Linked DNA regions of Drosophila melanogaster. The protein of the gene in region 4 interacts with the protein of the main gene of each other region in a pairwise test. Each region holds a gene or a part of one and is shown on either strand. Other genes may lie near its edges.

The links.
Region 1: the proteins of CG9029 (region 4) and Baldspot interact in a two-hybrid assay, tested with the Drosophila melanogaster proteins (one large-scale study listed by BioGRID).
Region 2: the proteins of CG9029 (region 4) and Tim17b2 interact in a two-hybrid assay, tested with the Drosophila melanogaster proteins (one large-scale study listed by BioGRID).
Region 3: the proteins of CG9029 (region 4) and Tsp74F interact in a two-hybrid assay, tested with the Drosophila melanogaster proteins (one large-scale study listed by BioGRID).

What each region holds. Positions count from the first base shown.
Region 1 is NT_037436.4:16,656,062-16,664,691, forward strand, and holds the start of Baldspot (baldspot), read right to left. Parts: upstream 5,555-8,630; 5' UTR 5,410-5,554; exon of another isoform or gene 5,350-5,409; intron 3,406-5,349; 5' UTR 3,351-3,405; coding exon 3,169-3,350; intron 1-3,168. Other genes in the region: Galphaf (G protein alpha subunit f), read right to left, coding at 6,788-7,487, 7,581-7,678. UniProt on the Drosophila melanogaster protein: Catalyzes the first and rate-limiting reaction of the four reactions that constitute the long-chain fatty acids elongation cycle. This process allows the addition of 2 carbons to the chain of long- and very long-chain fatty acids (VLCFAs) per cycle.
Region 2 is NT_033779.5:15,481,440-15,488,500, reverse strand, and holds Tim17b2 (translocase inner membrane 17), read right to left. Parts: upstream 3,773-7,061; 5' UTR 3,665-3,772; coding exon 3,134-3,664; 3' UTR 2,956-3,133; downstream 1-2,955.
Region 3 is NT_037436.4:17,889,972-17,900,104, forward strand, and holds Tsp74F (tetraspanin 74F), read right to left. Parts: upstream 5,892-10,133; 5' UTR 5,795-5,891; intron 5,242-5,794; 5' UTR 5,060-5,241; intron 3,586-5,059; exon of another isoform or gene 3,481-3,585; intron 3,416-3,480; 5' UTR 3,407-3,415; coding exon 3,329-3,406; intron 3,252-3,328; coding exon 3,060-3,251; intron 2,842-3,059; coding exon 2,746-2,841; intron 2,683-2,745; coding exon 2,386-2,682; intron 2,312-2,385; coding exon 2,264-2,311; 3' UTR 1,849-2,263; downstream 1-1,848. Other genes in the region: CG7402 (uncharacterized protein), read left to right, coding at 1-260, 336-493, 562-1,383; prestin, read right to left, coding at 9,298-9,901, 9,972-10,120.
Region 4 is NT_033779.5:5,882,397-5,889,168, forward strand, and holds CG9029 (uncharacterized protein), read left to right. Parts: upstream 1-3,605; 5' UTR 3,606-3,623; coding exon 3,624-3,657; intron 3,658-3,704; coding exon 3,705-4,039; 3' UTR 4,040-4,213; downstream 4,214-6,772. Other genes in the region: CG44574 (uncharacterized protein), read left to right, coding at 1,386-1,425, 1,483-1,563, 1,619-1,923; Sfp26Ac (seminal fluid protein 26Ac), read right to left, coding at 1,985-2,046, 2,110-2,280, 2,334-2,355; CG43185 (uncharacterized protein), read left to right, coding at 2,777-2,807, 2,870-3,003.

The DNA.
Region 1 (8,630 bases), on a different chromosome or scaffold from region 4:
AAAAAACACAGAAAGAAAGAAAAAAGAGCAAGCGGAGCTTTTCCCAAAGCTCCAACATTGAGATCTCGAAAATGGTATCTTATGTAGAAAATATATCAAAACATACACAAAATGCCTATTAAAGAAACGCGGAGATTTGCTCGCCAGCTCTGCCCACTTTTGACCAACTGTTTGCGTTAACGGTTGTCGTTAATACGATGTTAATATATGTATGTACATACATATATGCACACTCATAGGCCGACCAAAATTGAATTAAGTTTCACTTTCAGCACTGCCCTTTCTCGTCTCTCCACGTTCGTTGTGTGTTTTTTTCATATTTTTTTACTTATTATTTTCGATCGGTCTACTGCGGCATGTGAATTATTTTTTAACTAAATGCTGTGGCTGGTGGTAATAGTTAATTGCGGCAGTGATTGTAATTGCAGGTGCCCGTGGAGGGGCGGCAATTATTGTTTAATTCGCAAATGTAAATGTTATGCAATTGCCACGCTTCAATTGCAAAAAAAAAAATTTCCCCGTAGCAACACACACGCCAAACAACATTTTTCCAACCATTTAAGGACACTGTGCGTGGTGAGAGAATCCACATTAAAGGACATTATTATTTCGAGCGAGGGTGGACCTAGATCCTAGGTCCTCTGTACTCTGTACTCATTTGTCCTCGACACACTATTTCCAGTTGTTGTGATATAAATAATGCAATTTGCTCGGAACAACATGAATAATAGCGAGAAACCAAAGCAACTGAATGACTCAATCGCTTTAAAATTTAAATGATTACAATTATCGGTCATCGTGCTCCTCTGCAAACACATACATACATTATTCGCTGCTTCAGATTTCTATTTTAACCACTGGGGTCCCCACACACGTTGCCCACCCCATCTCATATCGCCCCCTTATGAACCCTCCTCCTTATATGGTCACAAAACATTTGCGCACGCCAAAGCTACACTGGCCAACAGGAACTTGTTTTTCACGCATATTACATCATTTGAATATCTTACTTTATGGACCATTAAGGCTTTGCAACTTATATTTTATAGATTCTTTGTAGAGTGCTTATAAGCTAATTTTATTAGGCATATTTAATCTTTAACCATTTAAGGAGATGTCAACTGTAATACGCAATACGTTATGGATACTAAAAACTGAAATATTAAAATTCTCCAAAGGCTTCGACCTCTTGTTTACTTTTTAACTATAAAAAAAAGCAAAAATCACTTTAAAGTGCTGGTAAATATTGTAAACGCAATCAGGTGGTCCAGTGTACCAGTGTCCAATTGAAGTGGACCTATAGAGCGGCTACATGTCAAAGTGTCCTGTTGGAGTTCCGTCCAGGACTACTACCCACAACCCCGTCTGCGTGGACACACCCACTTCTTGCATGACACACAAGCACATATGTACATACATACGTGCCACATGGTCGCCGTGGAAAACTTTGTCCGTTGGGCATTTGAAATGAAACGAGTACGACATGGCGTGTACCTATAAACCTAATCAGTTTAATGACTTTAATGGCGCACTGTCCGAAACGAGTGAAACAAAACAGAAATTCAAAAATTAAATTCATGAAAGATGAGGTGGAATGCAAGCGGGAAGTCCACTCTCTAAATATGTAAATGTACAGTCGGTGGCATGCGGTCAGGTGCATTTGCATTCTTTCAAAGTTTGCGATTAATTTTGACACGCTGTTCAGAACCGTGGTTGCTAATTAGAGATTCTTAAACATGGCATGGTTTGGAAAACGTCAAATATTGAATATTCATGCATGTGTTTGAGTATTCAAGAAGTTAAGTAGCCATGCTGAGCAAGCGGAAATCAATCCGTTTTAATTTGCCCAATTCATCCTTACCTTGTCAGTTTTTTAACCCCAACAGTTCGAAAGAAACGCCTGCATTTTCACTAAATTCACACCTTTCTGTACCAAGTACATACGTCCATTTGCTTAGCCGACTCTCCTCCATGTGGGCAAATATTGAAATGACATTCCGAAAAAGCCAAGTGTAAGGCAAAGCCAACAACAATAAAGTGAAAAATTAACCGACAGATCCCCCGACGAGTGTCCGCGTAGAGAATCGCCAAGCAACCCAGGGCCAAGCCCCTATATAACTCATCCAAAAACCCAATGGCTTTGGGTCGGAGTGTGGGCAGGAATCGCTACTCCACATTACATTATGCAAGCAATTGAATCATGATGTGGAATTCAGGGTTAGGAAAGCCACATCAAATAGACTTATCTAGCTAACATTTTTTAGAATACAAAGACGTATGTTTCGAAAGATACTCAGAAGGAACTTATATAGCCCGTTTTCCCCAGTTGGACAATAATAAACTTTTCTGTTAGACGGTAGCAACTTTCTACCGAATTTCACAGTGGCCTTAGCAAGGCTATAAACAGCTCCAAACCAGGTGACAAAACTGAATTATGATCTTGCAAAAATACTGTCTAAATGGCATGTCACGAGCCCAACTTAATTTGGCCACAAAGCCCGATGACGACAATTAGAAGCAGGAAGGCAAACACAGTATCATAGGCAAAAACGAAGCGAATCGAAACGAGACAATTGCCAGCACGAATAGCCGCCAATTGGATCCACCACAGGTAAATCAGGTAACAAGGAGGGGACAAACAGCGCTGACTGTTGGAAAAATTGTTAAAATACCCAATCAAATAGGTCTTTAGCCATCGGAAAATACACCTGAATAGTGCGTGCTCAGGTGCGAATGCGAATTGTTGGCTATTTGAGCCCGAGTTGAGGATTCACCTACAACATTAGTGTTTGATTAGCCGTAATTTAATATAATTACACGTGGAACTCAACAGCTGTCTGGGCTAATAACAAATGTACACTTGGACTCCAGTCTTTCCGGAGAATAAACCGAAACAAAGCGCGACTGAGTCAATATAGGGGTTTCCAGGGATTGGTTTCGATAAACAGCAAAGTTGTTTCTACCGACTGCAAGGGGCGTGTGCACTTGTGGGTGTAATTAACGCCGCTCCCCGGCCGCCAGCTAATAATTTTCCAAGGCCAAAGGGCGCAAGTTCTTAACCCAACCGTTATTTCACTGAATTGTCTATCTAAGCCACCAAAGAACACATGTTTTTTAATCGCAAAACTGCTTTAGTTCACATAGTTCAGTTCAGTGTGGCAGACTCACCTAGGCCGATTTTGCATAAAGTGCTGACCACCGAAGATGACCAGCATGTAGATGCCGCAGTAGTAGAACACCCATGTCCAGTTCTCTAGCATCCATTTGCGCGTCCGCTGGTGTATGAAATCGTTCTCGAAGTCGAAGATGTACGAGTAATTGGGCGTAACGCTAATGTCCATGTTGATCATTTTGGTGGGCTTTATGTGTTTGAGTTGGTGGCTATGTTACTTGGGTTATATGCAGCTGTGGATTGACAAGAAAGTAGAGATAGATTAGTTAATGTACTCAGAACTATCTTGTCAAAGATCTTGTACAACTTTGTTAAGGAATATAGCTATTCGTATTAGAAATAGCTATTCGTACACCAGAACGATTTTATTAAATTAATATTAATTTAATATTAACAATAGGTTTTAGCTTCTGCTGATTAAAAACTAATTTAAATATACATCGAGCTATACAGCTGTTTTATTTGAATAAATAAAATAATATACTGAAAGTACCCAATGAACTAGGACGGTTTAAATTTTCTCATTTTGCTCTGTATGACTTTGTTTTTTTATACATTACGTACTTTTAAAATAGGCACACAAAAAGGAAAACACTTTGAATATAATTTTTTAACTTATGGGAACATTCTTTAATTATTAAAACTACAATTTATCTTCGAGTCGAATGTTTTTAGTTTTTTTTACTGATTGCAGTATCTTATCTGTTTCCTAAGTAATGGGGATTTTACACGACGATGTTTAAAGCTTAATTCAGTAAAAATTCCGCACCACTCCCCCTTATCAAAACTCACACGCGCTCTCTCACACACACACACACACAATCAGGCACATAAAAAGCCCGCGTTTTGTCGCATAAATTTCTCGGCGACCTTCCTTTCCCCTTCGTCCCACACCACTCCTCCTCTCATTCATCCATTTCATTGATTTTGCCAGGCAACAAAAAAAACACCGTTGGTCCATGGCTCTCTCTTACTCAATCTTTCTTCCCTCTCACACCCCTTCAAACACCTTCCCGCTCTTGCTCACTCTGCAAGGGATGTGCAACGCTTTCATGAATGGCGCACGCTTTGTGGTTATCTTCATCTACATTCTTCCGCTTTTCACACTTTTCACACCTCGTGCTGAAGCTTAAATGGATACACAAACAACTTGATACACAAAGAGAAACATTGCTCGTCAATCGGAGGTAAAATCTTGACATTAATAATTAAGTTTAGTTAAATGTGCATGAGTTTTATTTTAAATATTTAATTTAAATGTGAGAATTTTAAGATCCCCAAAATCTCTAGCCGAAAAACTACACTAAAACTACAAATTAAATACATTTGGAGTCTCCGAGTTTGGTTTTTTTTAACATTCTACTTTTATATCTTGAAATCACAATACTAATAGCTGAATCCAGGGACACTCTGAGTCCTGTAAGCTACCCCGTTATTACATCACTTTTCTCACAGTGTTCTGGGAGCACATGAGTGAGGGGGTGGCTGTAACGGAAAGTGTAATTGTGGTAGTTTACAGAGAGCGCCAGTCTGGCGCGCTCTCTCTTCCTCTTTTTCTCTGCCCACGAAAGTCTCGTGCGAATTAAAAGAACTTGAAGGAATGCATAAGCAAACAGCGAAACCCAGCAAAATACAAATGAGACAGGGCAACTTGCCGGTGGGAGGGAAATTAGTTTGAATGCCTAATTGCATGCCAGACACGCGACTAATCATACACACACTCGACGCGCTCACACTTTTACGCACTCTCACTCACTCTCGCACACACAGGTGATTTCGTTTTGCCATAAGCTTCGCTTTGGTTTGATTTGGAAGCTTTTTCTGTTGTTTCTTTTTGAGTAACATATCCGGTTTTTTGCGCGAGCGCTTTCAAAAATTTCTAGTGAAATTTTTTCGATGCTCCTAGCGGTTTTTATGTTTCCGAAAAACAAACTGCCCCTCCTCGCCCTAACTTTGCTCTCACGCAAAAACACGCGATCTTTGCCGAATTTTTTCCATTCGTATTCTGGTTCCTGCTGAATCGATAAAGTTCTCGGTTAAATCAGCAAATGTCTGGGAAATATGTTTTTGCCTCTCCTCTCTTTCGTTCTCTCTCGCAGCATCGGATGAGAAAAAAGGGGCGCAAAATAAGGAGGAAACCAAACCACCGCAAAACATCAACGAGAACACGCACTCACACAGATATCACAGAAAACACGGTTACTATTTTCGAACGCTGATGTCTATGAGGTAATTACATTTGCTCGCCGCCTCTTATCGCAGTATCAATTGGCTGGATCACAACACACACGGCTGGCTGTCACACACTTCTGCCCCAGCGACTCGGTTCAGCAAACTCAAAAAACTATCGAATTTGCCGGCGCAAAGCGAACTGAACGTTTAGCTGGCGGTTCGGCTGCTTTATCGCTATACTTATATATAGGAGATATTTTAGTACCAATCATGGCGCTGGTACTTTTGCCATCGCGGTATTTTTCTGCGGCTCGCGTGCGGTCACATCTAGCTGCGTGCGGGTGGAGCTCTATGCACACTGGTTCCACTCCTATTGGGTACTAGTCAAACTTACTTATGTTGCAAGGAACAGTTAAGCCACTAGTGTCTTTGGTTAAGCGTAGCAAGATGCATTTGTATGCCCAAATTATTAAACAGTATCGCGAGTTATACAGGAATATTTTTGTTTTATGGTTATACCGACATGAATCGTTAAAATGTTTGGGGAGAACGTAAGCTGGTAAAAGTTAAAACGATGATCGATCTTTATTTAACTTTTTGATTTGGTTGAAAGTAACGATTCTTTGTTCGTGTTGCATACGTAGACACAAAACTTAAATACCATATCACTTTACGAGTAATGGGTATTAGGTAAGGACCACAGCTCATTGGTGTGTAACTTGGCTATTAGTTAAGCGATGGTAAAGAACTATGTGGATTCCATCATTTAAATTTAAGACCGACCGTACAAAATATAACGCTCTGATCGATAAACGGCATTTAAGTGGAATAAGCTTTTTTTTTAATTTGAATAAGAAGCGCATATTTTGTAAAAGATCACTATGACTTTTTGCCTTTCAATATGTTTTTTATATTTTAAAATGTTTTAATACGAAGCTTATATATTCTTGTATAAAGAGTAGAATGGTGTATTCCGAATGGGAAACTATTTTGATCAAAAGTAAAACAACTATGGTTTCTTTTCCTTTCCTATGGCAACATCAGATCGCTCAAAGCGTGTGTGCCCTTTGAAGTATGCTACACTTTGTGTTGCATGGGACCCAAATACCCAAACTTTGGGTGCAAAAATATTTAAAACTCATTCTCAAATTGTCTGGGTGTGTTTTGGTTTATTGTAGATGCTATATTCTATTAGAGTTTAGACATTGGTTGAAGGAGTAGTGAGAGCATTCGGTATGAGGATTCTTCCTCTACACCCAATGCAGTTAAATATATTAAAGCGTTGTACCAGCCATTGTGCAACATACGGTTGCCACTACGATCTACGGTCTTACATGGCTACTTATGTAAGTCATATCCTACTAGATCACAGTTGGTGGGGGCCTGAGGACAGCCCTCCCTTAACTTTATTGAGAAGCTCTCCGATCCGCAACGGGATCTGGACTAGAATAGGCCCATGCTGGACACGTTCTCCGAGAGGATCATCTTCTGGACATCGCAGAAGACATCACGGATGCATCGCGTATCCGTGGCGACGGTGAAGTGGTAGTAGCACTCCCTTTCCGAGGTACCCAGATCCACCTGATTCCGTGAGTGTCGCTTGAACGGCTCCTGTGTGATATCCACCAGCTTCTGTTTGATGAACATCTTCGTCCAGTCACTCTCGCCAAAGCAATTGTCCTGCTGCGGCCTCTTGCAGAAGTCCTCGTATTCGGGAAAGTAGTCCACAATGTGCTTGCCGGCCCGAATCTTTCGCTCCATGATGTCGTACTTGTTGAGGAACACGATCAATCCGGCGGAGGCGAGGAAACGATTCTGCCACACGGCTCTGAACAACTTCAGAGCCTCCTGCAAACGATTCTGGCTGGGATCCTCGCGCAGATTCTGATCGAACTCGCTGCACGAGATCAGGAACAATACGGCCTGTATGCCTTCGAATACCTGAATCCACTTATTCCGCTGATCCCTTTGGCCACCCACATCGTACATTTGGAACTGCTGTTCGCCACCACCCATGCTCTTGGGAATGGGTACGCGGAAGGTGATTTGCGAGATGCCGGTGGTGATCTTACGGCTGTGCAGAATGTCCTCGGTGCTGGGTATGTATTCAGCATCGCTGATCCGCACAAAGTTGTCCAGGAAGCTGGGGTAAAAAAAAATTCAAACTTTAGTAAGGTTTTTTTTTGAATAAATGGGAAAGAAATCTGATTTTGAATCAATCCAATTAGATACTTACTATTTCGCACTATCCAGCAGGGGAAACTCATTTGAGCGATCATAGCAGGCGCGAATACCCACATCGTTCCACAAAGTAGTGACGTGGTCGCAGTACTCCTAAAAATACAAAAAAAGTAACCCAAAATTAAGTATTGTTTTCAAGTCAGTGATGGAAAATAACATCAACTCTTCACCGGAAGATTGCAAAAGCCGCTTGGACAGACAAGTACGAAAAGCTAATCCGGTAGTAAAATTGTCTAGCTAACCGTCTAAAAAAATTCTATTTGCTGAATATATGATAAGGATCATAAACGCCAAGATTGTGTCACTTTGCAACTGTCATACGAATGATCAACATCAACATCAAAGTAACAGCACAAAGTCAACTTTAAACTTAAAAATAAAATATAAGAACCTCCAAAAAACATACTCTATTTTGGTCTGATATGATTATTTATTTCCTCAGTTAACTTAAAACTCTGAACGTATTCGAGTCACCTATTCAAACAGTCAGTCATAAAGCAAGGGGAATCCGAACTTCGGTACTTCTTTTGTTTATGCTTGGCATTACTCACTGGCAAAACATAAAACCATGAATGACTGGCATCTAGATCTGGGAAAGGCCCCGCCCACTTGGAGACCTGAACAGCCTTGGTAATCTAATCGTAAGCCATATAATGACCACTGGTTAGAGGTACATAGATAAATTTCGGAAAGATAAAGCAGATTGCGCCACATGAATCACATTCAGAGGCAGCGTTGCAGCTGCGGCAAACTTGAAATAAAAAAAAGGAAAGAGCAAAATAATACAATAAGGCCCGGGCCAGGAAGTCCGATTTACAAAACACTTGTTTTGGAAAGTTTTTAGACATTCCACGCCGCCCAATGGACACGCTATCAATCAAATCGCCGCTACTGATAACACGAATTCGATCGAAAGCCGTTGGAGATTTGACGCAAGTCCGGCGATTGACTTCAAAGTCGTTTGCTCGGATTTTCGACAGCCACAACGAGCATGTATTTCAAACTGCGACACCACGACAACAGACTTTGAAGTGCAGCGAGGGAT
Region 2 (7,061 bases), 9.6 Mb from region 4:
ATTTTTTACCAACAAATTAAGAAAGAATTATATAAATATTGTTATAGTTGGTCAAACTGGGTCATACCATGTAATGTGCGATTTCATTTCACAAAGAGCGCTTAATTCACTTTTTTTAAGTCACCTTCAACTAGGTCAATACTCCATGGCTCCATGATCGATTTTTTGGGGCCTTCAGTCCTAACCTACCACATCCAGAAAATTCCAAGAAATTGTTTGACAATGCAGAACTCTTACTCCATTTAAGTCTTATCACCTGAAGCTTTCAGACAGATTTCAAAGAATTTCGATTTGCATTCCCTTCGATGGTGAGTGTAAACATGGCTGCTTTAATGAATGCGATTACCGTTTTTTTGGGATAAGGTCAGAGCTGATAGTAAAAGAAAAGACGGGTCCCAGATCACGAAGTCATCATTGATGGATGCAGTTTTGCCCTAGGAAGACGAAGAACTTTCGACAGCTGCTCTGGACGATGATTTCATCAATTTCATCAGCCGAAAACATGCAAATGGACCGCATGCATACTAAGCGGCAGTAGAAAATTGAAAGCGATTATCGATGCGGTTGAAATAATGCAAATGGACTCGGACAATCCGTAGATCATGCCACATGGGAAAAAGAGTCATTGCCCATTGGCTTGCAAACTATTGCAGTGCACACATTTTTGGAGTGCCTAACTCGACCTTCTAATTGGTGCAATGATCCGGTGCAATGATCTTCAAGTTGAAAACGTAGAATGGACAGTCGATACAGATAAAATATTATATTCTTAATTCCAAATTAGCACGAAAAATACGTGGTATTTATTATGATACAAAAAAATATATTTTATGCATAATCCTTATCGTTTTGATATTTTTATTTTATCGTTATGAATTATTGATATGTTATTTTATTGTTATATATTTTTAAATTCCAACATTTTGCTGTGTAGCACCCTTGAACTTGTTGTGAACTCAGGCAAGGTTTTCTGGGGGCTGGAGCCTAATTTATTCACCTAGCAGTAGCTTTTTAGGAATTCTAAAATCAAGTCGCGTAATAAATGCATTGGTCTGCCTGCAGACTTGTCCCAGTCCCAATTAAAATGTGTGTCATATATGCATGAGATTTTTGGCGCCTGATTTTGGGAATACCAAATTCAACGGGCACTCCAGTGAAATGCAAATATTCTAATGCATAGAGCTTGAAAGGTGCCAGAAAGTCGGAAATATGCCTTTAATGCGCCTCGCCTCAATTTGAATGCGGTTCAACGATTGACATTGACATGTGCCAAGGCTAGCATCAGATCAACATATCTGTTATCATCGGTCGGTCTCAAGATGAATTGAAGGTATATGCCACGCAGAAAAATATTCTTGTTCATATCTGGAAACGAATATTAAAATTTCGTTCGTTAGGGATTTTAAGATTGGCAGCTTTATTAAATTTGTTTTCACAAACCAAGATTTTATCCTTTAAATATATTTCGCTGTGAAATTTCTTGAATTTTCTATTAGCCTCAACATCCCTGATAAATGGCTCGCGTTTAGCGCCATGCGGGCGCAGCATGCGAAAAATCTTCCATTTGGGTTGATTTCTCGCATTGAGGTGTTTTGTTGGTCAACGCCAAACATGTGCTTGCCACATGCCCCGTTTCGGACCCATTTTCAATACCAAACTCAAGCCTGTCCAGGCGAAGGTGTGAACTATTTGGCCTGGTGCCTTATCTACACTTAGAAAAATATTGACATAAAATGGATTTTTGAACGGTGTTAAACAAAACGGTGTTTGTTTTAAACAAAATACTTCAAAATTCGTAAAATACGATTATCGTTAAAACCCATCGTAACCATTTAAATATACCCTTTCATACCATTTACATACTTAATTATTTAAAATAGAAGAGGTTCAACATATATTTTCCGTTTTCCAAACTAGTTGACATTTTTTGCGGTGTAACTGTGATAGCTGTGTACCTTCAAAGTCCCATGTGCCAGTCTCTCTCACCTTGGTCCTACCTTCGACTTCGCTGGGCTCTCCGTTTTCCCATGAGGGAGTTCTCCTGGCCCGCTCACATATGTCGGAACTCCAACTGCGGAGCTGGGAAAACAAACAGGACTGGCGGTACTGGTTACACATGTGTGAGCTGGCCGGACCGGAGCACGTACTATGCGCGTAGGTGCGACTCCTTGGATTCCCCAGTTCTCCAGTTCCCACACATCCTGGCCGGGCCACATGATGATGTTGCTGTGCTTTTCCCGTAGCGCCAGGCGTGTCCAAATGTTTTGTTGCGGAATTCCTCAAGGCGAGGAATCTCGCACACATTACGAGTAGTCGGCGCTCGCGGAAAAAAAACACACGAGCCAAAGTTACATATGTTCTTTGGGCCATTTATTCAAGAAATTTCCATGTCGGCCGAAAAGGGATTTCCTTGTAGGCGGCGTTTTCCCACGATTTTATAACTGGGCTCGACTTCCCATCTTCCCACCGTCCATGTGTTGCTGGGAAATCGGCGTTGCCTTTGGTTTTTTGCCTTGCGGGGGAAAAGTTCTGATTTGAGTGCGCTCGAGACTTTCCAGCTAGGAGCAGGACATGTGGCCGGTAGCCAGTGCCACTCAGTACCTCACTCAGTCTAATGGCCAGAACACCGCGGTCATCTCGAGTGGACAGGTTGTAAAGTGGCCACACCCGCCGACCGGACACTTGACTCTATGCGCCGGCGCAGCATCGCAGGTAGTCATCTGGAACAGGTAAACATTTGCCAATATCTCACGCTGACCTATGACACGTGTCAGGTGTCTTTGTCGTGGATTCGGGCAAGTGTGAAACAACCTACTACCTGTTGAGGCAATAATGATTATGAATACGAATGAATTAACACGGAGAACGATAAGAGGGCCAATTGCATTTGTTCCTTCTTCCAAAACGAGCTGCAAACGGCAGCTAATTGTATTTTAATAATTATAAATCCGTGTTAAATTGTTTGAAATTTAATAAATTGGTTCCTTTGCAAAAACAGCTTAAATGGAAATACTGCAATTTTGTCCATATTTTATTGTCATCGAATTTTTCAAATGGAATATTGCTAAATCTAGCACTTATGAAAATCAAAAAGGACTACGTATTAATATACCCAGACAAGAAAAATCGGAATTTAGCTAGTTGCAGTGGCCTGCTGAGCACCCGGAAATCCAAATCCGGAAGAGTTGAAGTCACCGTATCCTTCATTGGCATCAGGCATGATATGCGGTTCACGATTTCGGAACTGTTCCGCCGCGAAACGTGTAAAAAATATGCCTAAGCCCTCGATCATTGAGAGCAGTACGCCACCGATAATTGCACTTCCAGCCATGGCCGCCGCTCCATTGCGTGAGGCCAGAATTCCACCAGTAACTGCTCCGCTCACTATCGAGTTCCAGGGATCCTCCTTTTGGCGAAAGTGGACCAGACTGCAGTCCACAATGCTGAACACTGCACCCCAGGCGGCGAAACTTCCACCTATCACCGGAGATTTGGTCTTGATGGCAGCCACACTGCCGGCGACCCTGCGTCCTAGTCCCTGTGGTGCGTTCCGGAATCCCTTGAGTCCCTGGAAGAGCCCGCCTCCAACGCAGCCCATGATAAAGGCTCCTCCGCAGTCGTCGACGATGCGATGGGGACACGGTTCCCGCGAATACTCCTCCATCTTTGCACTTTTCCACTGGCAGGATTTCCTATCACTGGCCGAAATTAAAAACTGAATTTGCTAAATTTCAAGCCTTCTGCTTATTTTCTACAAATGAGTTATATGTGACTTGGCGTCGCTCGATATGTATAAGGAAATTATGAGTTTTGTGTCTGTCAATTCCAGAGTTTGTTGTGAATTGTGCGACTAAGCTTGCTACATACCTAGTAGATTTAAAATCATGGAGAACATGTCCAGGAACTCAAATTTCAAACTACAGGTTGTAAGTAAGAAGTACTTGGTTTTGTTTGTGCCCCCACCAGACACCCATTAGCATATGAACCAGAGTCAGAGCAAACAGAGTCGCACGTGGATCGGGGATCTTTTGCCCCGAAGCTCAATGGCACAAAAAGGTTAAATAGCACAAATGTCGGACCGTAGTTAACCATAAAATTTACTGCCGCAGCTGGACAACTTCGGCTCGAGAATGGGGAGGGGACGGGGGATTGGGATTCGGATTGGGATGGGGATGGGGCCATTCGAAAGACGCAATTCGTACAAAGGCAAAGCCAGACGGTGGGAAACGGAAACAATGAGACCGATTGTCGTCGACCGATAAAGCCAAGCCGAACCAAACCAGAACTCCAGACCCAATACTATTTTATACTGCGTATGTCAAACTACTTCAGGAGGGAAGCTTACGATTGCATGCATAATTATCACGCGAGCATAATCGAAATTTTGAAACTGCCGCAACTGTGTTTGCTTAGCTCGAAAAAGGGGGAAGTCTTCGCATTCGGGCCCTCGATGGATATCTCCGCATAACAAGGTGTCAGACAGCAGTGACAAATGAAAGCGAAACCCCGATCGAAACCGAAATCGATGGGCAGGCATTTAAGTATGAGGGGACACCTGGACACACACGAAGCGCCAGTCCATTGTTCAACAGGACAAATCTCGTCAACTTGACATGTAAATCGTTAGAACGTGTTGCACTCGATTGATTGCTCTCACTCCCGAGAAGGTTATCGGGGATCATTTGACGGGAAATGGCTGCAGGATAAGACATTATATATAATTTGTAAATGTAAATACTGGGCATATTGTTTGCCACTGCTGCGGGATTTCCAATGAAATCTTCATTTCCACGGTAATTGTTGTCGCTTATAAATGATTTAGATGGGATTAGATCGATGTGGTGTTAATGTGGGCACATTATGCGAAAGGATTGGCCATTCCGTTCTAGGACGCGATCCGACCATGGGTTTCCCACGAATTCCGGAGATTCGAGCCTTACAGTTTTCTGGGAAGTCACAGGCCAAATGGAATTGGCCTACTAGCCCATTTAGTAATTTTATTAACATTATTTGTTGTTAAAATACCAACGTATTATGTGAAATTAAAAAAACTGCAGTTGTCTTTGGATACAGAACAATTTAAAACCATATTCAAAATTTTAAGAACAGCATTCTACAACTGTAAATCGAGCTCCACAATGTACGCTACAGAAATGCAGGTTTGGTAATCTATTGTGGCAATGTTTTTTAAAACAATAATGATTATGTAAACAGTAAAAACTCAAAAATTATAATATCGAACAGATATGATCTCTAAAACGGTTCCGTTTTCCATCTTCCGATCTCCGAATGCTCCGTTAGAGGCCAGTGTTTGGGCAGCTGTGATGCAACATTTTGTTATATCTTAAGGAATATGCATCTGCATAACCCACTACAAAGGGAATCCAGAACGGAACTCATTTGCCCGCTCGAAGAGAATCCCTGCACATGCCAAAACGCCAGCCAGAACAAAGGGGGCGAAACAATTGCGGTTGCATTACCCCAGCAGTCCAATTCAAATTCCGACAGCCTCCAGCCGGGCAATGAAATTCAAAAATTCAAAATCAAAGGGCAGGCCTGAGTCGACAAAGGATGTGACTCAGGTAGGACCCCGGGCCTGCCGCCAAAAAAAAAAAAGAAATGCTGAAAAATCTCGAATGGTGCACTATTGTTGTGTCCTGTGCCCTGACTGTGATTACTCGTATTCCGATGTCGATCATAAATGCGGTAGTTTAATGCACTCTAAGAAACCAGTATTTGCTTTAAGTACAAAATAAAATTCGTAGAACCGACTGACTTAAAAAAAAGTATAATGAATTTGAAATCTTAGCTTAAGAAATCTTCTAGAAATTTAATAAGCCTAGCTAAGCTCATTTTAAAGTGTCCTATTCCGTGTGTATAATATATGGGAGTAGTAATACTACTTAACACTACAATTTGTAGAAAAATACTATACTTAGATATGCAAACATTTTTATTAACTAGAATTGTTTGCAATTTTGCCATACTTTTTTGCCTGGTGTACTCGCCAAATTCCCCATCTCTGCACTCAGCATTGTACGCCCGCAGATGCAAGTCAACGTCCGAATCAAGTCTCGATTTTTTGGGCTGAGGGCAAACAGATGCACATCTTGCCAAAAACCAAAACCCAAGAGCTGAAAACGAAAAACCCAAGCCGATGGCCCAAGACGAAGACGCGCCAAAGGAGAAGAATCCTGGGCTGAGCTGCAGCTGTCAATGCCAAGCCACCAACGCGCCACCCTCGAGTTGACATTATTTCCAGCACCGATTTGTGCTGATTCCTGATTTCAAAATGCTCCTGCCTGCCCGCAGGCGCAGATGCGATATCCTCTGGGTTTCCTTGGTGCATTGTTGTTGTCCGTTCACCCGTCCGCCCGGTGCAATGATTTTTTCTTAACGGCTCCTTGTCTGCTTTGTGTTTGTGCGGGTTTTTTTTTTTTTTTGCTCTGCACAAGGAGCATCTAAGGTCCTGCCAAAAAGGTGTTGGAAATCTTGTTAATAGGGGAGTTTGTTTCATCGGCCTGACCTGGCATAACGTGGTGGGCGTCTGGCAAAGGAGATAAGATGTCCCATATATTTAGGGATAAAGTAATATAAAAAACCACTGGTTGAATGAGAAACTTCTTAGTCTGATAATTCCATTTTTCCCTAACTCAACTATATGTAATTAACTTAATCAAAATAATAACAAAATGAATTTATTGGGATATGTTTTATTATTTTTATATATATGTAGAAGAAAGTATAATTCGGTTAAGCACAAAATGGTGGCTCTCCTTTTCGGAAGCGTTTCCAAGCGGAAATCACTATAATCATTAGTGAATAATCACATTCAACCCCTGTAGTAAATTTCACCAGACAAAAAACTCTCCCTTTTTTTATGTAGTCCGTAATCACCGCAACAGAGTTAAATAATATTTACACACTTCATTTAGGAGACACGTGTAATAGGCTAAACAGAGTGTTTAGTGTGGCCAATAAGCAGGACACACGCGATGTCCCCTAATCAGCTTAGTCGCCGTAGCATAATGGAACGTTGGGGGCAGCGATGACGACAGGAC
Region 3 (10,133 bases), on a different chromosome or scaffold from region 4:
CGATAGGAACTACTCGGCTGGACTGGATTTCCGGCGGGATCTGGAGCCGTGCCCCGAAGCGAATGGCACTTACGCCACCGAAGCCTTTACTTCGGAAGCAAAAAGGATAATTGAGCAACACGACAAGAGCAAGCCGTTGTTCATGGTGCTCAGTCATCTGGCGGTGCATACGGGCAACGAGGATAGTCCGATGCAGGCTCCAGAGGAGGAAGTGGCCAAATTTCCCCACATCAGGGATCCCAAGCGACGCACTTACGCTGGCGAGTTAACACAACGCGTACATATATTGTAAATCAAATTAATATTTGTAATCTTGTTACTACTTTTTACCACAGGTATGATTTCCAGTCTGGACAAAAGCGTGGCTCAGACAATTGGTGCTTTGAAGGATAATGGCATGCTGAATAACAGCATTATTCTGCTCTACTCAGACAACGGAGCACCCACGATAGGCATCCATTCCAATGCGGGTTCTAACTATCCCTATCGAGGAGTAAGTAATCCAGGAATATCATAAAAGCAATGAAACTAGAATATTTATTCACCTTATTTTACATTCAGCAAAAGGAATCGCCGTGGGAGGGTGGCATTCGATCGGCTGGTGCACTGTGGAGTCCGCTGCTTAAGGAGCGAGGATATGTGTCCAACCAGGCGATACATGCCGTAGACTGGCTGCCCACACTGGCAGGAGCTGCCGGCGTATCCTTGCCGCAGGATCTTCCGTTGGATGGGATTAATTTGTGGCCTATGCTGAGTGGCAACGAGGAACCGAAACCAAGAACAATGATTCATGTACTCGATGAGGTTTTCGGTTACTCATCGTACATGAGGGATACTCTTAAGTATGTAAACGGGAGCAGCTTTAAAGGACGATACGATCAGTGGTTGGGTGAACTGGAAACTAACGAAGACGATCCCCTGGGTGAGAGCTACGAACAACATGTCTTGGCATCGGATGTTCAAAGCCTACTAGGAAATCGGGGATTAACTAAGGATCGCATCCGACAGATGCGCAGTGAAGCCACCGAAACGTGTCCCCCTATTGAAGGACAAAATCCTCTGGAATCTCATTTCAAATGTGAACCACTGAAGGCTCCCTGCTTTTTCGATCTGGCCAAAGATCCCTGCGAGCGATACAACCTAGCCCAAATGTATCCACTCCAACTGCAGCAACTTGCCGATGAGTTGGAACAAATTCGGAAGACTGCGATTCCCAGCGCCCGAGTTCCGCATTCTGATTCAAGAGCTAACCCGACTTTCCACAACGGAAACTGGGAGTGGTGGAATAATACGGATACGCAATCAGGTTCCGGCACCTTCTCCATCAATTTATGGCTTGCGATGGGTAGTATTATAGGCTTAGTATACAGAAATCTGTTGTAGCTGTAAGTTCTTAGTAGAATAATTTTTAATAAAAGTTAATTAAAGAAAATACTTTTTTATTCAAATCTTTAAAGTCGCTTGAGTGCGAACTTATTTTCAGTTAAATAACATAAAAGTTGTTATATTATCTGATGATAATTCACTTTGTAAACACCTTCAGGTCACAGCGTGATCCATACTTTCCCTATTTTCCCGCTTCAAAAATGTGACTTAAGACAAAAAAAACCTAAAAATATGCAACAATATTGCATGTAGATTAAAGCTTCGATCAAAAACAGTTTAATACTTTAAACCGTTTTTTAAATACAAATTTTTACGTAACATGGACATATTTCATGGACCAGATCATTTTAAATATTTATCCTTTTTCGTTTTTTTTTTATACTCATATCACAACATATCGTTTAATGATAATTGGATTAAAAATAAAAAATATTAATATATATAAACATTTCCGAAGTATTTGGTTTTAACTAATTTTTATTGAAAACAACAATGGACAGACATCTAAATTCTCTATTAAGTATTGAAAAGCTCACTTAAAACTAGCAATTGTAATGGGTTGTTGATAACGGTGGCTTAAGAGGAAATTTACAAAACTTCACACAAATAATACAAATTTATGCAACAGATAATAACAATAGAATCCCTACTAAGTTCAATACTCACTAGTTATGCGTATCTAAACACGTATATACATACAATACAATACATAATACAAGCGGACAGTTGATCTGTGCAGATCTAACATTAGCATACACTCAGATAATACTCTTAATTTAACTCCAGCGAATTATGTTTAAAAATGTGTTTCTTCTGGACTGTGGACCTTGGTATCTGATTTTCCTGCGTGACCATGGGATTCCCCTCCTCGTTGGCGCTATTCGATCATATTGAATAGTAGACAGGAGAATATCATGCCAAAGATCTAAAAATAAACCAAATTCCAATTAATTATATATTATATAATAATTTTGCTACCGAAGAAAGGCGTTCACTTACCATCAGTATGGCCACCGCTATGGATGTACCTCCAATAACCGCCGCGTGATCCCTGATGAAGTTGGTCGTCACATAGAGGCATCCCTGGTTGTACAGATTCGTAATGGTCGGGAAGATTGTGCACTCCTTACGCTGTCCACCGAAAAGCTCCTGGCAACAGGACTCAGGCACTGGTCCGTACCTATTCCAGTCGTGCCACGTATCCACTCCGCAGCACTGTAGTCGCTCCTGGGTCAAATCCCAGGCCTGGGTGATCTCCCTCCTGCTTCCGTATAGTGCCATCGTGGAACGCATTTCCTATGGGATATTGGTAAGGGTTAATGTGCCACCCACGTGTTGTTATCGATGGATTTGCCTCACCTGCCGCATGGTCTGCTGAACTCGTTCGCGGAACACGTAACCCAAGACACCGCCAATTAGCATGGTCACGAAAACTAGGGCCACTATTATGAAATACTGCAAAGGGAAAACGAGTGGTTAATTTTTTAGCTAAATGGTGTTTGCATAATAGTAAAGAAGAGACTGACAACATTTAGAAGATTAAATCAAATAGATCATTTCTTTAGATGGTATCTTTGTAAATATGCAAATCCAGATATGATTACTCCAAAAAGGACAAAGTTAATTATTTAATAAAATGAAATTTTTGTTTTTATTGTTTGTTGTTTACTTACTGTTAGGAGGAGGCATTTGACTTCTTTTCCGGCACCAACACAACCCAAAAAGGACACCAGACAAATGATAATCGATGTAACCAGCAGGACGTAGACAGCACCCGAGAAAAGATTTGTACCGAGCAACTCATTGACGAAACTCCGATCCACCAGAGTCCACAGGGTGAGACAAAACACAATCGCTCCACCCACCTGGAAAATACATATATTTTGGTATTATTTATTTCTCTTAAATTGTTTTTTAATTCAAGCGACTCCTGGATACTCACGAATATCACAAAGTTGGCTATGAAAAGACTGTACTTGACGAACTGCCCGCAGCAGTCCATTCGCGAACTGAAGCCCATATCGTCTTCCTTTGAAAGGATAATACATTTCAATTAACCAATTCAATGGGATAAAAAGATTTCACATTGTTTACTTTTGTCTACAGGTGAAGAGCCCCCAGAGGATATTGATGCGAGGAGAATTATGCAGGGAATTTGGGGTAGGATGAGATGCAGAGGTTCTTGATGGCGATACAACTCTATAATCCAAAGACAGATAAAAATAATTTCACACTATGCTTTAATTAAGTTAAAGTTCTTAGAGATCATTCAATTTCAACAGGTCCTTAGCGATAACCAAGTTAATCATAACTCATCATCCCGATTTCAAATTAGCTATTTTTGGCCTACTCTCTATTGCAATGTGATGTAATCTCAAGAATGTACTTTTTAACGAGTTTCTTTCGCGTAAGATTCACTCCAACATATGGGCTGCCTATCAATGGTGTTCGGCTTGGCGAGTGGTGCGCATGCGCATGCGCATGCGCAGCTGTGGTTTCGGCCGAACGTTTCGCTCTTTCTAAGCCGGGTCCGAACCGCGAAGCGACCGAAGTACACTTAACCATGACCCACTTTATGGAACTGCGACTGAGCAGCGAAGCTGCCAACGCTATGTGCCTAGACAAGCGTTCATTATCGGCGGTGGCTGCCAACGTCTTGTGGATTTTGTCAGTTACGGCTCTAAAGACTCGCGTTTTTTTTTTTTTTTTTGGTTACTTACATCGCATTAGGCCCACTTGAAGGGTTCGCTGCGCGGCGATTCCGAGACGAATTCCCCCCGTTGAAGTTGGAGCGATCAAAACAAATAAATCAAAGTAATAGCCTGCCCGAAAATTTGTCAGCTAATTGTAGTGGTTTAACTACGAGTGCCGTCCCAGCTCTGAATCATCTTGGCGCAGTGCGATGTTCTAAATGCTAATTAAAAGTAATTGCAGGCTGAGCAGTCGGGTACCCCTTCACCCCACTAGCTGGTAAACGACATCTCATTTCGAGCATTATTCTCCAAATTCAAATATGTTAAGCCGCAGTCGAGTTCGCCAGGTAATTGGCGGGGCTATTAAAAAAATGTTCTCACACTATCTGAATATTCACTATATTTCATTCGACGTTATCATGTTAAGCGAATCCGAATCGTGCCTGAGATGACAGTAAGTCATCCGAAAGTCGCCATTAATGATGACGGGGCGTTGGCGGCGGGGCGAATCACTATATCTGCCGCTTGTAAGCTGAGACCAATTAAGTTTATGGTAATTGTTCAGCTGTACGTGCTACACATGGTAATAGATCACTTAAAGCTCGGATTCCAAGTCCTGTCACTCATGAAAAACTTAGAAAATCAGACTTTTTAAGTACTATCTACTAAACTCTGAGCTCACTCTTTTATGCTCCTTTCATACCCTGTTATCTATCTGTAATCATAGGAATAATAGCTTTACTAGGTCATTTATGTTTAAAACTCGTATGTAATCTTTATTTGTAGGTGATGTTAGCTTAAAAGTTAGTGAGCAGAATCGGTCGAGGCTATAAATATGAAATATGTACTCCTTGTTTATACTCGAAGCTTGAAAATATAGCAGTGAAAATAGGAAAGTGGTCGCATTTGAAGGACCTCTGTATGAAATTTATGATTAATTAAAACAAATGAAATATTATCTAATAAGCAAATTCACTTACAAGTTTGCCGTCCCGTAGCACAAACGAAGTTTTCGTTAGGTAACCAATTTTGGCGGTTTTCTTTCTCAGCTTTGTGTATGTAAATTGCCTTCAATTTGTTGTTTTGCAAAAACACAAAGCAAAACAAAAGAAACGGCTACTATTTTTAGTTGCACTTGAATGCACAGAAACTTTGGGAGTGGCTATAAAAAAAGAAGGAAATTATTTTAACCCTTTCAATTAACATTTTTGTGGTAAGAAGTAGAAGAGTTTTTAATTTCACTTTTATTTATAAACAACTTTTTGATGAAGACGCATTCATTCATTTTTTCGGTCGATTTTATTAACTTGTTTAAATTTTTGGTTCATTCTTCATTCAGATCACTTCATTCAGATCAAAAGAGATCGCAAAGTTTACATACGCATATAGCAATTTATGCAATATTCGTTAATATTTGCTCTCGAATTTTTATGAAACTTTTTTAATACAGGTTTCTTGCATTTGTTTTAAGCGTCACTCGCAGTTGATAATTGTTATTGAGTTTTTATTCGATTGCTGTTGCTGTTATTGTCAATTGCAGTTCTCCCATGGCAAACAACTTTTTTTTTGCCGCCTTGCTTTTAACATTTGCTTTTCAAGTTACGTCACGCTTGCCAAGGCAGCATTATCCTTAGCGGAGTTATCACTGTACTGTCGGGATATTTCGTGGGGATAAAACTATACGATTCACTTGATGGACCTAAGTCTCGCCTTACAGGGATTGAGTGGATCCGGGGAGCTATGATACTATGGTTTTATATGTGGGACAGGGACGACTCTACCGCCCGAGAGCTCGCTTGGAACTGGTTGTGGGAACAGTCGGGGCGATCGGTTTTTTATTAGTTTCGCTCACAAAGAGCTTCGTTGTTGGGCTTTTTCTGGTCTCGGTCTCTCGACATTACAACAACTTCGACTTGAGCCCCTGTTTTCGAAGGCTTAGCACTGCAGGTGCGAGAGAGATGGGAGTCTCTACTCGCTTACAAACCGCAAATACTTCTCTGAATGTTTTCGTGCTTCTCTCTTATTTATTCATCTATTTTTCGGCTTCTTTTACCCACACTTCCCTTTGCGGAGTCGGCATGTGAAAATGCGTTGAGCAAACAAAATATGATCCGTCGTCCACAGCCAGCACCTTTGTTTCATTTCGGGCAATTGCAAAATATAAATATTGATAAGCAAACGAAATTTGATATTTGTTTTAGTTCTCGGTCTGCACATGGCAATGTCCGCATAATTGATTTTGGAGGCAAATCTATCCGAATTGGTTACCGTTTTGTTATAACAGTTTAAGTTTAAATACTTTTTGAACAAGGATTATTTGTAATGATTGTTTTCTTTCTTCAGTTGGATCATTTGCATCTATTTGCAACCATATTTATATTCAATATACGAGTGTTGATCAGACAACTTGATAAAGCCAAGTTTGTCAGTCCGTTCCTTTCTTACGCATTCTAGAATCATAGTTTTAAAGCTTGGAACTTTTCTAAAAATCTTCTTTTTATTGCTCGTAGTATGTGAATTTGTCTTCTGTATCATGTATGTATAAATATCGAAATTTAATTGAAAATATTAGAAAAGAAATCAAACATTGGCGAGGCTATCTTTCTTTCTTGATTTCAAGGGCTTAGTGTTCCAAGAGAGCACAAGGAAAATATGCTTATTATCCGTGTTTCATGTTACTTTTGCTGGTCGAACTCAATTGCTGTGCCGAAGGACAACCTTTGGCAATTAACAGCTTAATTTTCTTGTTAGTCGAACAAATAGTTTTGGCTGAGTTGAGTAATTTTTTAAGCAGTTTCCAAGCTAAGGTCAGAAAGTTGGCTGCCGATAGACGAATAGCTCACCCTCCCTACTTACACTCCACAGCACGGTTGAAAAGCGCTCAAATTGTTGGCTTGTTTAGCACTTTTATGGCCGTGTTAACAACAACCACCCGCCATGTCCCCGTAATCACCGACCAATGTGTTAGTTGCATGGCGAAAATAAAAATAAATCATAAAAAAAAGAAAAACAATTACTCTGCCTGTTGATTTTGCATCTTATAAACTCGCTGTGGGAACCTTTTGCGTTTTATAGATGCCATAAAATCCATTTCCACACACTCGTCCCACAGGCGCCTCATGATAAAATATTGCTCAGAAATCGAAGTTTGCGACTAGTGCTCAGTTATTCTTGCTCAAGTGGCCAAGAATCATTAATATTATGGGGAATTCTTAATTTTAAGCCAGTCAATTTCGCCTATGAACCTATACTTACTGAGATCCGATTAGTGTGAGCGAGTTGAAAGCCTCGTTGAGCTCGGCGAAGGTGACAAGCGTCAGAAGCGTTAAATTGTGGCACTTTAACTGATTGGAATGAGTCAAAAATTGGGAAGGCAAGCAAATGACTACTGGTAGTGGAAGATATAATTAAAATGTTAACCGAACTGCGCATACAACCGAGTTAACACAGCAACATGCATCATACATTATCAGATGCAAACTAAAGTGAAACATTGAAAAAACAACAAATGCAACATTTTTGATTCTCACATGACTTATCATAGCTGCTATAACTCTACTTACGCCTTCGCCACTTACTGATCTTCGTATAAAAGCTATCTCAATCAATCAAAAATTTGCATATTGCATTAATAAATTAATGAATCTATGGGAATGTGTAGTGCTCGTGAATAATGCATTGCGAAAGTTGAAAGGTTATCAATAGTTAATTATATAGAATTTACTTTAGCTTAGAGGAGTATAAAGGAACTTTTTTACACAAAATTCTATATATAAATAAACAACATTTTCACGCAAAGTGACCTTCCGAAATTCGAACTTGAGGGCTGGCATTTATTTTGGTGGACAACCGCAAAACGCAACTGAATCCCAGATCTTGACCAACTCAAGTCATGTAGTTTTTCCCAAGCTCTACACAAGTCCAAACAAACTCCAAGTGCATTCTGTGGCCTCGGGCCAAAGTCATTAAATGGCTAATCAGTTGGAACAATTGTATTCCCTTTTGGCCACCGCTTAGAGCATGTTCCACCTCCTCCCACGAAAACACACAGATATTCGGCAAACAAATAGCCAAAATATACATCTGAGTTTAGTCATGTGCCCGCTAATTGGTCGGTGTCAGCTCCAGTGATTGTACGTGGCGATGTGTCATCCAAATGCTGAATATAATGTCTACCGATCAGGTCAGGCATTTCCAACCAATATGGCAATCTTATGAATCCTAAGTACATAAATGATATGAATATGAATCATTTCAACGTATGTATATTATGTGTCTTGTCCAGAAAACGGTTTGACGAAAGTTCTGAGAATGTTTTCGTTTTTCAATTTAATTAATTTCTGAATATTTACATGAGACTCTTCAGATAGAACATCACGGAATGCGATTTTCCTTTTGTTATTACTCTGTTAACTTCCTATCCGCACACAAATTAATAGTTTTAGAGAACATGTAGTAACTATAAATGCATATTATATTTTAATCCTATTCCTTTATGTTCAATATTTATTATGGCTACATGACACTTTTAAAATTATCTACATATTTAATTTGTTTTTAAATATTTTGTGGCGGCACCTTTAAATTTTGAAAAATGTTGTAAAACATCGTTCCTGTTCTAAATTCTTTTCTAAGAAGGAATTGAACCATCCAATGCACGGTATAGGGTTTCCGGTACCCAGCCTTAGCTAACTTTGTATGCAGCACTTTGTTCGAAAATGAAATACATTCGATAATGCTTTTGTTGAGAAACCCTAAAGGTAGGCTTCATAAATGTGCTAGAAGTTCGAATCCGACCCGCTTAAAATCCACATTAGAATAAATGCAACAAATTCATTGAAATGTTTATGTACAGTTTATACATCTCCATACATATCAACCTTATGGACTAATTGTGTGTGTTTGAATTGTTCATTTTGGTACAAATTGCACTAAATCAATGCACTTCATTGATCGATTGAAGTTCTTCGGTTGCCTGACTGGTGGGCTGTGTATGCTTTAAGTACAAAAATCAATATTTTGGAGGCACTTAAACAAACTTAGCCTATTCTGCTTGATTGTAGACGGCGACATTGTTTCTATTCAGTTTAAAATAGATTTTAGCAACTAGGAAGGGGTTTTGATGCTACGATTCACAAGCTATCACTTGGACATATCACAAAACGTGGTTTGGCTCTCTGCCCCAGTTAACTGGGGTGTCTGGAGCAGGAACACCCTCTCACGCTGTTCGACAGGCATTGGCATATTCCACACAATCGTGCAGGGTGGGGAAGATCTCAAAAGGTCCTTCGCTAAGGGCCATACTGTGCACGAGGGTATCGTATACCCGATCTACGGGGCTAGCCAACAACAAACGAGCTCCTCGCACCTTCAGTTCCTTGCTCAGATCCGTCAGGGTGCGACATCCAGCCACATCGATGTGTCCCAGCATGGAGAAATCCAGGACGAGCACCTTGAAAGCACCTGACGTCTCTTCTAACTTGCCATTGATCGCCTTGCCTCCGTTCTGCGATACTGGGGAATAACTCGATTTGCTGCCCTTGCTGGGACTATTGCTATTGCTGCTGCTGACTTTCGTTAGGGGAATCTTGTCCAGGCCCACGGCCTCGTACAGAGCACGTCGGAAGAACAGGCTGGTGGCAAAGTTAAGCGATCCACTGTAGCGGAAGATGCGGACTTCGGGAACCTGCATGGCGTTTCGATGCTGGTTGAGATCCATATAGATGCCTGGAGCCTCTGGCATATAGCCCAAAAGGCAGGAGTACGGCTTCAGTCCCTTGATATACAGAGCCAACAAGGAGATGCAGATGCCAATCAAAAGCCTGTAAAGCAATGATAAACATATTATTGTCGGTTTTAAGTGGAAAATGCAAAATTAAATATCAAACACACCCAATATCAATATCGATGATAACGACGCAGAGGAAGGTAGATATCCATGTGAACATTTCCAACTTGCCCTGCTTGGAGAACTTTTTCAATTCCTTGGCCTGCATAAACATCGGCTTCAGTGCCACTATAATCACGCCAGCCAGAACGCACTGAATGAATCAC
Region 4 (6,772 bases):
TCCTGGCCATTTCGTAGCCAGGTGGCCTCGCCTTCGCCAGGTCAAGCGAAAAGGCGTCAAGGATATCAAGGATTCATAACTCATTTACCGACCTCTTGATGAAACCACTTCGATATCAAGTTCTGCTGGGCGAAGCAGCTAAACGGAGAATTACTTGCAGTGGCTTGAATTCATAATGATAATAATTAAGTTACAGAAGTTTATTTTACCAACGTTAAATTTTATATATATATTATAGGTAAAATATTGCATACACCTTTTAGTTCAAACGCGCTTTAAGTGGACTTGTTTATTTTCATTTTAGTTGCTTGCTTTGTGCATTCAGATTCACATTTTAAATGATATATTATTGCTGGATGATTTATTATGCGAAACATTTTCTGTTTATGGACATAAAATATTTGTATTTTTAGTCAGAAATTTTCGGTGTGGGCCAAGAACGCTTTTAATAATGCGCTTCAAACATCCAAAGGCAACGAATATTCAGCGGTGTATTTTCACGTTTAACTAATGTGGTTTTAACAATCACCTTAAATAGCACATTAGCTTTCGATTTCTATCGCATTCGAGTCGCTTACACAAGCAGGGAGTTGAAAATCCGAGTGAAATATAAATAATACCTAATTAATTGTCAATTAATCTAGTTTTTATTCTATTTCAAACTTGAAAAGTAGACTTAACTTATATATGATTACAACTAATGTGCAGATATATTTAAAAAAAACTGCTGAATTCCCCTTGCCCATCGAAAGATTCATTTACACAAAAAAAACATTTCCATTCGAAACGCATAATATTTACAAATCAATCGAGGCATAAAACCGTCTATACTACATGGGAAAGTCAGTGCCCATGAATTCTACTAAGAAAATATTTCGTTGGAGCCCAGAACTTATGGGTATAGGTTTCTTTAATAAACTTGGAAATGCAACGCACAGCGCTCAGTAAACTCCGCAACTCCACACGGAATATGGAAAGCAGTAAAAGCCATACAATCATTGGAAAAGTTATTTGTTTTGACGGAGAGTAGGAGCGTGGGCAATATGGCGAGATCCCTTGCCACATTCATATGTAAATGCATCAGGTTGTAGAAAGCTTAGGTGAAGGGAAAAACTATAACTTTTCAAATCAAATTATTACTCATAAAACGATAGGTCGCGTTGTTAAGTGACTTGTTCTTCGAGGTTTTTATGGTTCCACAATTGAGTGAATCTAAGATGGAAAACGTTACTCTTACAAGGGCTTGTCTAATTTAAATGAAAGTACATTTAAGTTGCTTGTTTCTGTGTAGTAGTTAACTACTGTAAAGAAATAGATTTAGAAATAATATTCATTGCAAATAGCAAACCAAAGCGACTAGTCGCATTTTGATCTAGTACATCGAAATGAATGCATACTATAAATGTATTTTACTTATTCTTTGTGGTAAAATAAGACATATTTAACTAAAAATTAATAATCACTATTTAACCATTCCTTTAGCAACGTTTTATGTCCATTTAGTTAACAGCTTAGACAAGCACGACATCAATGCAATTTTAACGAAGTTTAAAAATCTCGCTGGTAACTATTTATATTTTAAAAGTTATAAAATTACTAAACGATCTGTCTGTTGAAGTAAAATCCGCAAGCATGCACTTGCAGGATAGCAAATCGGATATAAACATCACCTCCAAAGAATTTTGTATGAAAAATGACGAAAGGACGAACCGCTTCAAAAGGATTATTTTTCTGCAGAAAGAGGTTATCCTAAAATTGCAATCCCAATTGTTGGAACAAACTCTGAATTGCAGCAACCTGAGGCAAAGAGTTCGCAGGCTCATTGATAGTTACACAAACCTAAAGTCCGAGCTTGAAGAACTAAGGTCGAAAAGTGGCACAACTGACGGCCCCAAGAATGAGAGCACTATAAAACATATATAGTAGATTTGTTGGATTCAAACAATATTAAATATTAATTGATGAAATGAACCATGATTTTATTTTACATCTTGGCGCACTTTTCTTTGTCCTTAGGGCACTTTCCTTTAACAATTTCGGTGAATGCTGGGAAAGTGTATAAATATTTATACTGCTGCAGGCGAAATTACATTAATATATTCCACTTACGTTTCAGCTTTTTTTGCTCTCGACGGCATGAAATTCTTTCAACTTGGCATCGATTCAGAGCAGTAAACACACATGAGCCATCAGCAACCTTTCCACAATGGATATTACTTTTCCAGTCACAGGTAAGGCATTCGTCTGCAATGGTTTTCGCCAATACCAGAGATACTATAACTACGGGTCTATTATTAAATTTTTAATCTGAATCCAAAAGGTTGAGGTCCTACCAAATATGAGATGGATCTTCATGCCGTCACTTTAGTTTCGAAACTACTTTTTCGAAATACTCAAAAGAACACAATAAACTTTAATTCGATTACAGAACTATGACTGAAACATATCATATTTGCAACAGTTAGCACATGTATTAAAAACAAAATTCAATTTGCTAATGTTATACCATTGTATCTTGGTACTCTTTATACTTTGCGCTAAGTATCTACAGGCTGTGTAGTTCAACAAGAAACCCTTTTCTTTAAAAATGTGCAATTGATAACTTAAGTCCCCTTTTTTACTCATAAAAATCAATATATTTTTTATGACCCTAGCGACTGTGATGTGTTGTAAATTGATTTAATGGCCAAATGCTCACTTTGAAGCTCGAGAGTGCGTTATAAACTGACATCGAATGAAGCCGGGCCCATTTACGCAAGTTGACTGTACAAACGCCATGCATTTGAGACAACTCCTTACCGAAATGGGTAAGCAATCGATGTACAACAATACTACATTTATTTTATATTAGCTGTTCTTAATTTTGAAGTTATTATCTTGACCATATTGACCATTCCTGGCTATACCATTCACACCTTGGCAGAGAAGAAAATCAGCCAATATCCTTGGATCCCGAAGACGTCAACGCATATTACACCTTATAAGATATCTGGGGATATATGAAATATGAAATGTGTTATTATGTATGAATAAATTTCGACGAATTTGTCTGCCCAACAATATATTCTAAATAAATGCATATTTTAAAAGATACTAAGAGCGCATGAAATAAAAGTTTACTTCAATAAGCTTGATATTTTTTTAAAAAAACCAATGTGGTTGTGAATGTGCAGAATATACCTGGTATTTTTAGATTATTTTTTTATAAGCACATTGGACTCTCAATTTATTTATGTATATTTCCAACCTAATATTCCGTGCAATAAGTAATTATCCAAACCAACTTGGATATCTCTACAACTTACTAATTATTGACTTCCATCAAGCATCTTTTAATGAATGTAAACCCTTCCTTAGTTAATTTATCCGAAGCCATCAGAATGATCAAACCTTTTTAGTTTTCAAACATTTTTTTAAAAATGCACTTGCAACTGCATCAGTATTGATTATGTCCTATCAGAGAAATGCTAAACAGGCCTGAAAGAATTGACCATATCAGTGAGCATGGCGAGCAATAAATCTAATTGATTTTGATCGCCGTTTGATGGCCATACTTGAAGCAACTACTGGCGACCTATAAAAGAGGGAACGCAATCATCAGTCTTCAGTTCAGTTTGAGGATCATGAAATTCTTGACCGTATTTGCATTCGCCTGTGGTAAGTAGTCCGCACGACTTGGCCAACGTTTGATAAACTAAAGATAGGCATCGTTATTCTGTTAGTGGCAACATTTGTGGTGCTCCACGGCGCCTACGGCTCACCACTGCCGGAGCCCATTCCCGATCCGAGTCCGGTGGCCGATCCGAGTCCGGCTGCCAATCCCAGTCCAGTTGCCGATCCGAAGCCCGTTGCCGAGCCATCTGCCAATCCAGGGACCGGAACCAACGCAGAACCAGGTCCGAGGAGCAAACCGAATCCCAGTCCCTCGGCACCAGCAACTCTTTTGGAAGCCAATAAGCAAGACAACTTTGCGGTTCCGCTCCTAGAAACTGCTCCGCAAAAGCTGGATGATGTTCAGGCCGATCCCCAGCCGGCTTAGTGGGTGCATGACCCCACATCAAGGAGCAGCAGCAGCAGCTTAATCCAACTGGAGCCTGCACACCCACACACAAGGGAGACACGCACACATATATATATTAATCTTCTGTATTCAATGTATGCATTTATGTATTCCAACTTCTAGCATGGGCATTAATAAAATTGCAAAAAAAATATTTAAATACTTTTTGGTCATATTTCTATCCCCCAAAAAGAAGCAGATGGTATCTAAACTAAGATATATCTTTCAATACCATTATGATATGCGTGATGTTATGAATCAAAGATAAATAAACATTGAATCAGTACATAAATTAAGCACCACCTCTGTTAACCGAATTCAACAAGCCGCGATTTTAGGGAAGTGACGCGGAGTATTTGCTACACAAATCCATTTCCCACAACAACTTCCGCCAGGCAGTCAGACAGTCCACTGGGCCACGGCAATCACATGACATCGACACCGGCCAGGGAGAGACCAAGTGACCAAGAGACCAGCCGACCAGATCCGGCCAGCCAGATTTGCGTTGGTATAAAAAAAAAAGAAGCCACCGAGACTGGGGGGAAAAAATCGCTTACAAAGAGGAAGCGACAATGAAGTCAGCAGTGTAAGGTTGACGACGCCACGAATGCCGGCAATCCGACCACAAAGACAATGTCTTGGATGCCAACCGGCATTGGAGGGCATAAAACCACACGAAAGCCCCATTGATCGGGGGGCATCGTCGGTTAATCCATTTGTGGGGCATCATTACCACCGGGTTTATTCATCGCATATATGGTATGTAAATAGGTTTATTTGCATCTTTCTTTTGCCTCTTCCGACGATCGTAAATTTTAACTCAACTTTAGTTCGTTCTCAATCGTTAAGGCAGTGAACAATTTTGAGATATCAATTTACATGTTAACACATCTCGATTTTTGAATGAACAGTTGACTGACAAATTGGCCCAATCGGTTGTGAATGAACCGCCATAGTATTGAAAGCCATTGATAACGATTTCAGATTCGAAGAACTATAGAAAAGTAAACCTTTGATGGACTAGAATTGGCAAGCTTCAAATGATAGTCAATGAGTTAGAATGTTCAATTTAGTTTTTAGCAGTTTTCGAAATTTTGATAAGTAGTTAAGATACATCTTTAGCATTCAGATTCAGATAGGATTAATTCTTTCACATATTTCCTGTCTTATTCACTGCTTCTGATTTCTATCTGATTGCCATAGCCATCTCTCAGATTAAAGCTATACACTTGGCCATAACTCAACAAACCTTACGATGGATTTTAAAGATTCTCGACGTAGACAGCATTACAAAGGAACTTTATTGCGAGGTTTCACTTTAAATGGTCGGTCCTAGTATGGGATATGGCAGGCCTTTATGCAAATTGTACCATCTTTGCTTTGCGTTAGCAACAAACAATAAAGATACGCCAACAACAGCTTGTAATGGATATGAAAATATAAAGAAGATTATATATCTGACACGTATTTAAACGTAAAAATATTACAATACCCATGATTCTTAAGACCTTCATTATTAGCCAAAAGTATACTGAAAGTAGTGCTCTAATATAAAGTTAGTTTTTAAAAGCCATAAAGCAAATTCGATGCGGTTAAGTTCAGGATTCGTTATTCTTCATGGTGTTTGAAACACTTCTGTTGTTAAATTTAGCTTCTATTCCCGAGTTATTTACGAACAAGTAAAAAACATCTTAAAGATTCTTTGCAGCTACGAAAATACTCACAAATATTTTTCGTAAACAAAAAATTCTCGTTTGGCAACCAAATATGTGCCAAAACAACATCAAAAGCGGCACAATTAAAGCCAATGCAACGCTCCACATAATTATATTAACCAACTCAGAAAAGGGAAAACAATGGAAATATTAAAGAAAAGGAGTGGAATGAACGGCAGATGGTTACACATTAATTTATAATTATTTGGGCTTCCACCAAAGGGTTAATCAGAACAAGTGCCACTTTGTTGAAAGCGCAGACGAACAAATTGAGAAAAAAATGGATATTGAACGTTATTGTGTATACCCTTTCAAACCGGCATCATTAAATGCATATTCAAATAGCAATGTATTAAATTTAATTATTAAATTATTATGTGTGGTTTTAGGAAATGATAAAAAAATACTTTTTTTGTATATTTTTACTGTTCGAATAGTAAACCGCATTTTGTTAAAGTGTACGGCCGCATCTCATGAGCTCATGTGGTGCGCATCTGAGAAACAGAAACAGAAGCCCAAATTAATTTTGTGGTCTGCTGACTTTTTTGATTATTATTTTGGGTCTGAAACAAATTTGAAATTAATTTTTCCTACTGTGCGGGTGCCCCCCAATAGCCGATTGGGCCTACTTGCTGTTTGGAGAAATTGAGAGGGGGACCCACACTTATATACCATCAGAATTGCATAAACAGACGCGGCAATTACAGATATCGACATTTGCATACGCTGCCGTCAGTCGCCCGCCTCATTAGAGCTAATCAAAATGAATGCTCTAATCAAAGTGGTTTGATTGCAAATCATTTTCACTCGCACTTTCAGCTTTTCACTTTCAATCTAATTGATTGAGATGGAAACCCCGGAGAAGCGATTGGGGGAAACCTGTCTCCATCCCTCTCCATCGATGAAAACAAGAAAATGAATTCGAAGAAATTAGCAAAACGTGAATCACAAACCGCAAAGAGTCATTCACAAAAAGCCTGCCTGCAGAAGACAGGCG